Linked DNA regions of Oryctolagus cuniculus. The protein of the gene in region 2 purifies or fractionates together with the protein of the main gene of each other region. This does not show direct contact. Links are inferred from orthologs where the notes say so. Each region holds a gene or a part of one and is shown on either strand. Other genes may lie near its edges. The genes, in order: MTMR2, SBF2 and MTMR1.

Region 1 (4,207 bases), about 31 Mb from region 2:
TCCTTGTCAAGCTGGAGAACAGATTTTGTACTTAAGCACACATCGATTCATTAATAACTACTCTTACCCTAAAAGTAACAAAAGTAGGTTGTTCTTCTGGAGAATGTACTAGCAAGTTAAGATCTTACTGCTCCTATACTTTAAGAATTTCCTAAAAACATCAATTGCAGAGTAGAATTCAAATTTAATTTAAATCAGTATAATCCTATTTATCTTAGCAAGGAATTAAAAAAAAGATTTAGTGTAGTATTTTACAGACATAATCTTTGCATAACTTTACACCCCATATGATGTGACTGGAATTCCTTTTCAATCAGAATTCTTTTCTGTTGTCCTGTCTTTCCTGTGTTCTGTGTAAAGGAAAATTACTAGCACAAGCATTTCCCTTTTACCCAGTTCCTGTTCTCTTATCATAGCTCTATCCCTCCACACTCCCTTCCTGCTCTGCAGTGGAATGTGAAACAGCAGGAAAAGTTTGTCCTTTATTAAACACCAAGTTTTTTGTGTATATTTATTAGTTCTCCCCCATTCTCTCTTCCGCAATTCTTTCTAAAGGGGACAGCAGATTGATGTCAAAGTGCTTTTCCTGGACACACTTTTGGACACTCTACAAATCCACTCAATCCAAGTCACGGTCGGCCTCCAATTTCAGCTCCTTTCCCAGTGCCCTCTCCTTGACGCTGGGCCAGGTGAGGAAGAGGAACTGAGAGATCAGCACTGTTTTTTCGCTACCAATGGTATGCTCTCCCCATTACCTCCAGCAACCACTTCTTGCTTCTGTGCTATCCTTCCTTCATCTTCTCATGGCAGCTACCATTTATTGAATTTATGCTAGAAACGTTCTATGCATTAGTCCAATCTATTCGCTACAGCTTAGGTAGAAGGTAACTCTACTAGCTGTCTGCTTATTCTCTGCCCTACATCGTTTTAAGCATTTTACACTTAAACACTCATCCAAGCGGAGATTGTTCTTCCATTTTTAAAGGTAAGCCGAGTTTCAAGGCTCTGCATTACATGCACGAGGCTGGCAAAGCCTGAATTTGAACCATGTCTGCGCCGCTCTACCCCATAACCATTGCAGCCCCTCATTCATCTTTATCTCTGGTCTCCTCATCCCTTAAGTACACCCATTTTCGCGTACTCCCCGCCTACCGACCCCCGTGTTCCTTCTGCCCCTCCATCCTAGGGCCCGCCCACTTCTCACGACCCTGTCCTCTCGTTTTCCTTGACCCCACACATTCCTGTCTCAATCATCTCCGCGCTTTCAGAGCCTTGCCTTCCCTCTAAGACCCTTGGTCCCTTCCCAGTATTCATTCTCGAATTTTCCCTCCCTCTGCAGCATCCTCGCCTCTCTTCGCTCCACTGGTTCCTCTCACCCCAAGAACACTCAGTCGCCCTCCTAGCCTGAGCCCAGGGGCGGCCCGGACGCACCCGCCGAGCGCGTCGGGGCCGGCGTCTAAGGGGCGCCACGGGGTCCTCCCTCTCCCCTGCAGCCCCCGGGCGCGGTGCAGTCTGGGGGAACATGGCCGCTTCCGGTCTCCCTCCCGGACCGGCGCTGGCCTAACCGCGGCCCTAGCCCGGCGCACTCCGCCCTCCGCTCCTCCCGCCCGGCCGCCGCGGAGGTCGTTTTAGTCCTTCCCTCCTGCTACCGCCGCCGCGCCATGGAGAAGAGCTCGAGCTGCGAGAGTCTGGGCTCCCAGCGGGCGGTAGCCCGGCCGCCCAGCGTGGACTCCCTATCCAGGTAACCAGGACGCGCAGGGCCCCGCCCAGCGTCCTAGAGGGATGGACAGGGGCCGGGACCCGCTGGATGGAGCCCGACTCGCCCCTTCTGGCTCCCGAAGCCTCTGCCGGAATTCCTTCCCTGGGACTTGGGAAGCACTTCTTCCTTCCTCTCTGGGGCGTAGAGGCTGAGGAAGAAGAGGTTAACACTCGCTGCTGCTTCATCGGTCCCGCTACCTCTTGAACCCCGATCTCGTTTTCTCCGCGGTCGGGGAAGCCCCAGCTCATTACTTTTTTTGTCTCTCTCAAATCCCCCCCCCCTTTTTTTTGGATAGGCCTTCTCCCGCTACCCCCCACCCCCCATTTCCTGCCTTTCTCTTTACCTCTGTCCAAAACCTTTCTTTCTTCCATTGAAGTCTGTGGTTTTTGAGTTCTTGTTTAACTTTTTCCTTTTCATCACTTCATAGTCTTAACTCTGTTATGCTTTCCCCTACACTTCGATTTTTCTGCCCACCTCCAGTTTTGCTTAAATATGTAAATAAAAACATCCCTTCTGCTTTTCTCAGCGTTCCAGCTGGAGGAATCTGAGTAGTAGTCTTCATCCTCAGTGATTGGTTTAAGGAAGCAAAATGAGTGGTGGTTTTCTTTCTTGTCATTTCTCTTGTAACAGATGGGAATTTTGTCCTGGAATTTTTGAGGACGTTAGTTTATGAGCTTTGCGGAGAGCCGTTGTATATACTAATTAGAAATGTTTTCATACAGTCTTTTTCTTTAGTTTTAAAATAGTAATTTCAGATTTATTAGGAAATAACAGAAGACCTGTATTGTGAGATAGCCATAATGGAGTCAGTTTCTTTTACCCTGAAAAGTAGTGTTATTGTTACTAGAGAATTATTAGATACTAAACTGCTGTGTGAAAACAGTTTTCATTTTGTCCTTGAATAAATTGAAGTTATTCTGTTAAGTTTATTTTGGACACTGCTAAACATGAATAGAACTGCCATTTTGTCCTGTTGGTATTCAGTACCTCATTGGCCAGCCACTGACTTATCCTGTCATTCAAAATTAGATTTTTTTCCCCATATGCATTCATAGCTCCCTGCCTACTCCTTTTTCAGAGTCCTTAACAAGCACACTGTAGTTGTTGGTTTGTCTTTACTACTAGGTTGTAGGCTATTTGAAAGCTAGTAGCCTACCTTAATCATCTCCTAACACTCAGTACTGACCGTGGACTGTGCATGTAACAGGTACTCACTAAGTGGTGTTTTAAATTTGTATATTGGAGTATCCAGGACAAAGACTTTTTCTGTGCAGTTGATTATGTTTATTTCCACCATTTTTTGAATTCTGTGTTACTGTGAAATTCAGAAAGCTGAGGATTTACATGCTCAGCTGTAAAATCATTTAGAAAACAGGTTGGAAAATTACAATCACATGGGAAAGTTATACATGAAAACTGTGGTTTAAAATAGAATATAAAGAAAACAAATGAGGCGACCAGAACTCTAATCCAAAGGAGAGGAATCAGAACCACTGGAGGCATCACAGTAGATTAGAAAGAAATAAGTTACTGGAAGTTAGGAGGCTCCTGTGTGAAAGTCCCTGGCTAGCTAGCTATTCAGCTTGTGTCAGTTAACTTTCTAGTCCTTAGTTGTCTCTTTTAACATAAGGAAGTTGGTCTAAAACATCTGTAAGAGCCCATAGAATTCTAAACTTCTATAATTTTTTATCTTAATAATACTAAAATGAATGTTTTTCTTTATCAATTACTTATATTCTCCTTACAAATAATCTTTGTTCTGGATTTTCAAATTATATTAAATAAATTGTTGATTAATATAAACTAATTTACCTTACTGTCAGTTTGACACATTAAATTTGCTGAGATTTCTCTTTTTTTAGAAAGTTAATGTTTATATATGTATTATAATTAATAAAAGAAGTTACATTAATGATTTATGAATTTGAGAAAATTAACTCCCCAAAAGAATTTGACTATAAATAGATTAGCTGTCCTATCTGGACAAATATGACTTTGAATTTTCAACAAGAGAGTGTCAGCTTTCATTCTTCACCTTTGGGAGGTACAAAAACAATTATTGAATGTCTGCTACATAAAGGTTACCCTGTTAAGTTCTTTCATATTTTTTTATTTCAGTTGTTATCATACTTGTTTGTGGCACTCCCTTTTAGTATAAAATTAGCTACATTATAAGCACTTGTTAGAAAGCTTAATTTAAAACATTTTAGGCCACCCAGGTAGTCACTGGTGATTCTAATACACAGCCATGCTGGGCTATCATAATTCTAAAAGCTTTGGTAAGTTTATTTGTAGATTGTTTTTGTTTTTGCCTTGCTAGCTCATGACAAAGCAAAATACCATATTTGGGATATATTATCTCAGTCTTTTACAGAAATGTCAGCCTTAAAACTGTGGTTTATTTTTATGCTTTCTGCTTACGTTTTTGTACAAAGACTCAATTAGAAA
Region 2 (3,651 bases):
TTGCTGTTAAAAGGTGGGGAGAAAACTTTACTTCGTCTTCAAGGCTGCGCATATTACAGTACCTACTCCTGCCTCGGGCTTGAGGCACCCCTTCCTGATAAACTGGTACAGTGCGTGGTGATTTTTGACTCCGTCAAACAAGACATTCAAACAAGACAGCACCCTTCCTGGCCTTCTAGAGAAATCCCTCTGCCTCGCCCTGACACATTTTCCTCCCTGTTGAAAACCAAGTGACACAATGTCAGAATATCCCCGACACGCCCCCTTTGTTCTGATTGGATTTCTAAATCAGCCATGCATACAGACCCCACTCTTCTGTCACCCAGGGTCTCCGTGACCATGCTATAATCTGCCAAACAAAACAAACACTTTAAATGGCTTCCTAACGGCCAAAAATTTTAAAAAGAAACAACAAAAAAAATTTTAATTGAGTTAATCGCATCATCCCTTAAGTGCTTATAATTTCTCTTGCAAAAAAGTGTACACAAGTGCCCACACCTGCGCTGTGTGAAGGGCCATGTGGATGCAGGCTGTGCACTGGAGGAGCACCGCCGTCCGTCGCCATACTCTGCGGGCTGCCCGGGAGCTGCTGGCCAGGGGCTTCCTTCCGGTGGAGCTGTCTCCCTGAAGCTGCGCAGTGCTGAGGGTTTTGTGCCTGGTTACCATCTTTAGAGCCTTAAGAAATGTTTCCTCTGCCACATATCTCATGCTTTTAGTCAATGTTAATTTATCTAACTTCCATTTTGTTGGATCTCTTTTAATTTACAGGAACTTTATTTGATGATAAAGGAGACAAACATGCCAAAAAAGGAGTGTGTATTTGGGAATGCATTGACAGAATGCACAAGAGGAGCCCCATTTTCTTCAATTATTTATATTCACCAGTGGAAATTGAGGTAGAATAATAAATCATTTGTGCTTCATTTTCTATGAATATATTTTGTTAAATTTTTTCGTAGTTTTATAAGATTTTATTAACATTTGAGCAGGTTTTTCTTATGAATCATTTTATTTATTTGAAAGACAGAGTTAAAGAGAGAAAGAGCTCTTTAATCCTCTGGTTCACTCCCCAAATGGCCGTAACAGCCAGAGCTGAGCCAATTGAAAGCCAGGAACCAGGAGCTCCTTCCGGGTCTCTCATGTGGGTGCAGGGGACCAAGGGCTTGGGCCATCATCTGCTGCTTTCCCAGGTGCATTAGCAGGGAGCTGGATCAAAAATGGAGCAGCTGGGACTTAAACTGGCCCATGTGGGATGGCAGCACTGCAGGCTGGGGCTTTAACCTGCTGTGCCACAGTTGCTGGCCCCTTGAGTAGTTTTTATACCAATAACTGTTTAAAAGTTTGAGACACTGTGGGTTTGAGTTGTGATAGAGACTGTTGACCAGATTCTTGCCATAAAAATCAGGAGCTGGCCTCACAAAACCTAGAAAGGACAAATTCAAGAAAGTCAAAACAAGGCAGCTTTCTCAGGAAGAAAGTACTAACTTGAAATCTCAACAGACGCTCTAAAGTGAGACATACAATACTTTAGAAAAGATTTCCTGCAGTCCCTTCATACCAGGGCAATGGAAGGGCCTCTGTTGGAAGCAGGGATGTTTGGAGCCCAGCCCAAGAAGTATGGCATCTCCCAGGGGCAAGAGTGCTGTGCTGTGCACAGCTCTGCCGTTGGCGCTAGGCTGGATCAGGCGGGTTTGATAAGTGGAGCTACCCTTACTTAGGGGTAGAGAGGCTCCTGTCCTAGGCCTCCTGCATTCACACTCCAGTCTGGGTTTCCTCCACCTGTACCCACTAATGAGATGAGTAGTACCAGAAACAAGGGTGCAGGCTTAGACACACTTCCTCATTTCAGCCGTGCTTTGGGCACCTCCAGGACGGCCATCGGCATGTTTCCTCATACCCACCTCCTAATCGAAGTCAAGTCCCCCCAGGCCCAAAGAAGTAGTTGTGTGGCAAGGGGTGGACGGAGTTTGGCTTTGTGGGCTGGGATATACACAAACACTCATGCGAGGCCCTCAGAGGATAGGGTAGAGCTGAGATGGGAGGAGAAGGAGGTTAGGCCAAGGACTAGGAGCTGTGGCCAACTCCCCCACCCAGTGCCACCACTTCCAGTGTAGAAACCTGAGGAAGCCAAGAATTCTCTAGTTGAACCTGGCCTTCCAGGTCATTAGGAGGTCGTAGTTGTCACAGTGGGAAGATGGACCATGTTTTATTTAATAGTGTATTTTAATGTATGATTTGTAAATATTTAGACAAATTGCATTTGAACTTCTAGCCATATCCTTGCCCTTGGTCCTGCAAGCGTTAGCAGCTGACCTTTCAGCAGGCTTGGGGAACTTCGGGGTCAAAATGAAACCATGAAGTATTTCAGAGTTCTCTTTAAACAGGCCCTGAAGCCCAGTGTAAATGTCTCCAGCCTCAAAAAGTGGGATTACTACATAGAGGAGACCCTGTCCACAGGGCCTTCGTATGACTGGGTGATGCTGACCTCCAAACACTGCCCCTCTGAAGACCCCGACCTGCCTGGAGGAGCTGGCCCCCAGAGCCGGAGGAGAACAGTGTGGCCATGCTATGATGACGTCAGCCGCGCCCAGCCCGATGCTCTCACCAGCCTTTTCAGTGTAAGTCACCCACGTGCAGGCCAGCCTGAGACTGGTTTACAAACCTCTGAACACGGCTGTCCTCCCTCTGGGCTCACACAGCCCTCCCAGAGATTGAACAGGGCAGACCAGGCTTACCTACCGGAAGAGAGTCCAAAAACAGTGTCCAGCATTACAGGGAAGCAGTTGGGCAAATGGAGCAATTTACTCCTTCCGGCAGCTTCCCAATTGTTTCAGCTGCGCAAGCAGGCTGAATCAGGCCTGGGCTATGGCTTCTGTGGGTGCTTTACTTCCTCTGCTCAGAAGTGTGGGTAGCTGATGGCCTGATGGGAATATTGCCAGCCGTCTTCTGCAAGGAACATTCTGTAGCAACGCCATGCTGGCAGTGCCGCCCCGAGGAAAGGTTTTATCTGATTGGGGCCGACGGGTCTGGAGAGTTTCCTCCCTCTGGTTTTCTGGCCAGGAAGAGCATGACCACTCTGCCACGGAAGCAGCTGCTCTGACAGACAGAAGGGAAGCCATCTCCTTGGACCTTTTTAGCTTTGCTCTTTCCTTGTCTGGTTGGAGTCATCAGAGCTGAGGGGTTCCTCTGTCAGGGGCATAGTTGTCTTCTGCTACAGCTGTTGGGGTTGGGCTGCAGGCCCAGTGCTTGACCTTTTGCTTTGGCCATGAGATTTCCCCTGGGTTGCCCAAGAGTAAAGGTGTTTAGGATACAGATCTCATCCCTTACTGTTTAAGCCACTTTGCACAAACAGGCCTAATTGTAGGTGCTGTGCCATCATCTTGGCCACAGCACAACACACCACCTAGAGCTCCCACACTCTTCCTGGCGTGGGAGACCTCGGAGGTCCTTGTCTTCCATGTTCTTCAGCTGCCCTCTGGCCGTGGGTGCAGAGCAGAGGAGATGGCTCTGGGCCACACCCTGACCTCTATGAAACATCGGCCCACTGGGAAACTTTTTCATTTCTTCACAGGAAATTGAAAAGTTAGAGCATAAATTGAACCAAACTCCGGAGAAGTGGCAGCAGCTGTGGGAGAAGGTAGCCATGGACCT
Region 3 (2,492 bases), on a different chromosome or scaffold from region 2:
AAACATAAAAAAGGACGTAGGAAAATAAAGGCATGTTTCTCTTGTTTAAAAATACCTTATCTGTACATGACAGTAACTGGAACAGGAGGCCCCGTGGCATGAAGGTCACTAGAACAGATGGCAAGGGCCTGCCTCCCCTGCAAGTACTTCCCCATCACAGGTCTCAAGTGGCAGAGCTGAAGGCAGGCCTCTGGCCAGCAACGTGGTCTTTCCATGACTGGTGGTTGCATTTAACGAAGGCTGTGACTTGGAAGCAAAGGTCGGAGACTTCCTTAAACCTCCATCTGAGTTTCTCCCGAGCTGCCTAGACTAGGGGAAGGCGGGTCCCGGTGACCCCACTGACAGGAGGGCAACGGGCTGTGCACACAACGAATATACTCGCCGACAGTGGGAGCTGTCGCCTAGCCACACACATGGTCCCTGGGCCGAGTCTTAAGGTCACAGGCTCCAGGCAGGACAGCAACCGCCAGGCCATTTCCCATCAGACTGAGGTATGGACTGGAGTGGCTGCGTGGGAGGGTGACGAGCCCCGCTCCGATGACGACGAGACTGCACGCGTGGCCACCTCCCGCTGCAGGTCCTCCACTCGCTTCTGCAGCTCCGCCCTGACAGCCAGCAGCTCCTTGAGATTCTGGTGAATCGGCATCTGGCGGAGAGCAGACAGCACTGCGTTATTGGGCCGTTCTTACCTCGCTGCTCACACAGCTCGGCGCTGGAGTACTAGACTACTGGAGCATCCGCACACCCTGTGGGCCCAGCCTCTCAGGCCACCGGTCTTCCTGCCAAGCGTGCAGACTCCCGTCCCCCACAAGCCACCCTTCCCCAGCTCCTGTGTGCTAGGAAAAAAAAGCAGACGCACCAACTGTGTCCGCCAAGGCTACTGTGTGCAGAGTCAGAAGCCAGCAGTCCCCTGAGGATGGTCTCCAACCCAAGTGGAGGGCTCCAGCTGCTGCACAAAGCACTGCTGATGTGGACATCCCTCTCCCCTGGCTCCGTTATCTCTGCATTTGAGTTTTTATAAATAGTTCTGCTCACGGAACATACTTATGTTAAATCGGCACTTCCTACAAGTTGAAGTTGTAATCATTTCATCCATTGGAGGAAGGGCTCAGAGAAGCCTCTGGAGTGGGCAGCCATGCTGGGGGAACAGGCCGTTTGTTCAGCATCAATGCAGTGCCTCACCCCAATTATTTTTCATTTTATTGGAAAGATCTTCCATCTACTGGTTCACTCCCCAAATGCCTGCAACAGTCAAGGCTGGAGCCAGGAGTGTAGAACTCTTTCCAAGTCTCCCATGTGGGTGGCAGGGACCCAACTACTTGAGCCATCTGCTGCACATTAGCAGGAAGCTGGAACTGGGAAGAGAGCCAGGCCTCAGACCAAGGCACACCAATAAGGCATGTGAGTGGTCCAAGTACTTCTCTTAAACCCAGTGATGGGTGGTGCTGTGTATGTGTGATGTTCTTCCCCTGGGGTATACGGGCTACCCAGGCCCACTACTGCAGGTACAGGATCCAGCTTACCCCTTGTGAAGCTCTGAAGCTCTCAGGCTGGGCCTGAGACCAACCAAGGAGGTAGCTCACCAGCTGAGGGGTGAAGGATGTTATGGGGGTGAGCGAGATCTGAGGAGTTCCCACTGCCTGCCCGACTAGGCCTGGCCCTGCTTTCCCACAGGCACAGTTGGTACACACAGCAGCTAGTACACAGAGGTACACACAGCAGCTACAAGACTGAGTCTTAAGCCTGGGGCAGACCATGTGACTCCCCACTTAGACCAGCGTCATCTTGCCCCTACCCTGGAACTAACATCTTGACGTCGGACTCCAGGCCTGGTCTGGCTCCAGCCTGCCTGGGGCTCATCTCTCACCAGGTCTTGCCTCCTCTCCCTCAGATTCTGAGCTGTAGCATCATGGTGCCAGTGGTATACAGCCTTCCTGGAGTGCTGACAGAAGATAGCCACATGCCTCCAGTATAATGGGGTGCCCAGGAACCAGCACTGAGGAGGCTAAGAACTCCCCACTTTGCTGTCCCCTCCCTTCTTCCTGTGGTCTGCCAGTGTCAGGGCCTGATGGCGAAGGCTGACCCCAGAGACCACTGTGAGGAAGTAACAGTTCTCCAGTCCTTTGGGCCTTTTTGGTGTCTTCCCCTGTCTGTTGGGACCACTTGATTGCAGTCAAATGGAGGAAGGCTTTGCGATCAAGCTGTTAATATATATGCAGTCTCACACCCAGGGCTGCTCACATGCACTGCTTACGTCTTCGGGTAGCTTTCTGCATCCTTGCTCATTTTCATTTGCAATCAATCAAAAGCATTCCTGAAGGACTAGGAAACCCTGAAGCTTGAATATAGTATTATGCTAGAGAAAACTCCCACCTGAGAGCCAAAGTAGTCCCATGGGTGTTAGCGCATATAAGACACAGTCGGGAGTGGGGGACATAGGATGCCCACTGGGCTCTCTGGTCCCAGGAACAGCTCTCAGCCAGTCTAGCAGC

What was found.
Region 1: the proteins of SBF2 (region 2) and MTMR2 purify together in Homo sapiens (affinity purification with mass spectrometry; 3 studies listed by BioGRID and IntAct, with this or other methods). This does not show direct contact. The link is inferred for Oryctolagus cuniculus from reciprocal best matches to the Homo sapiens genes SBF2 and MTMR2.
Region 3: the proteins of SBF2 (region 2) and MTMR1 purify together in Homo sapiens (affinity purification with mass spectrometry; 3 studies listed by BioGRID and IntAct, with this or other methods). This does not show direct contact. The link is inferred for Oryctolagus cuniculus from reciprocal best matches to the Homo sapiens genes SBF2 and MTMR1.

What each region holds. Positions count from the first base shown.
Region 1 is NC_091432.1:87,356,297-87,360,503, reverse strand, and holds the start of MTMR2 (phosphatidylinositol-3,5-bisphosphate 3-phosphatase MTMR2), read left to right. Parts: upstream 1-1,271; 5' UTR 1,272-1,661; coding exon 1,662-1,741; intron 1,742-4,207. UniProt on the Homo sapiens protein: Lipid phosphatase that specifically dephosphorylates the D-3 position of phosphatidylinositol 3-phosphate and phosphatidylinositol 3,5-bisphosphate, generating phosphatidylinositol and phosphatidylinositol 5-phosphate.
Region 2 is NC_091432.1:56,385,059-56,388,709, forward strand, and holds part of SBF2 (myotubularin-related protein 13), read left to right. Parts: intron 1-768; coding exon 769-896; intron 897-2,384; coding exon 2,385-2,618; intron 2,619-3,571; coding exon 3,572-3,651. UniProt on the Homo sapiens protein: Guanine nucleotide exchange factor (GEF) which activates RAB21 and possibly RAB28. Promotes the exchange of GDP to GTP, converting inactive GDP-bound Rab proteins into their active GTP-bound form.
Region 3 is NC_091453.1:129,569,507-129,571,998, reverse strand, and holds part of MTMR1 (phosphatidylinositol-3-phosphate phosphatase MTMR1), read right to left. Parts: intron 647-2,492; coding exon 482-646; 3' UTR 1-481. UniProt on the Homo sapiens protein: Lipid phosphatase that specifically dephosphorylates the D-3 position of phosphatidylinositol 3-phosphate, generating phosphatidylinositol. Could also dephosphorylate phosphatidylinositol 3,5-bisphosphate to produce phosphatidylinositol 5-phosphate.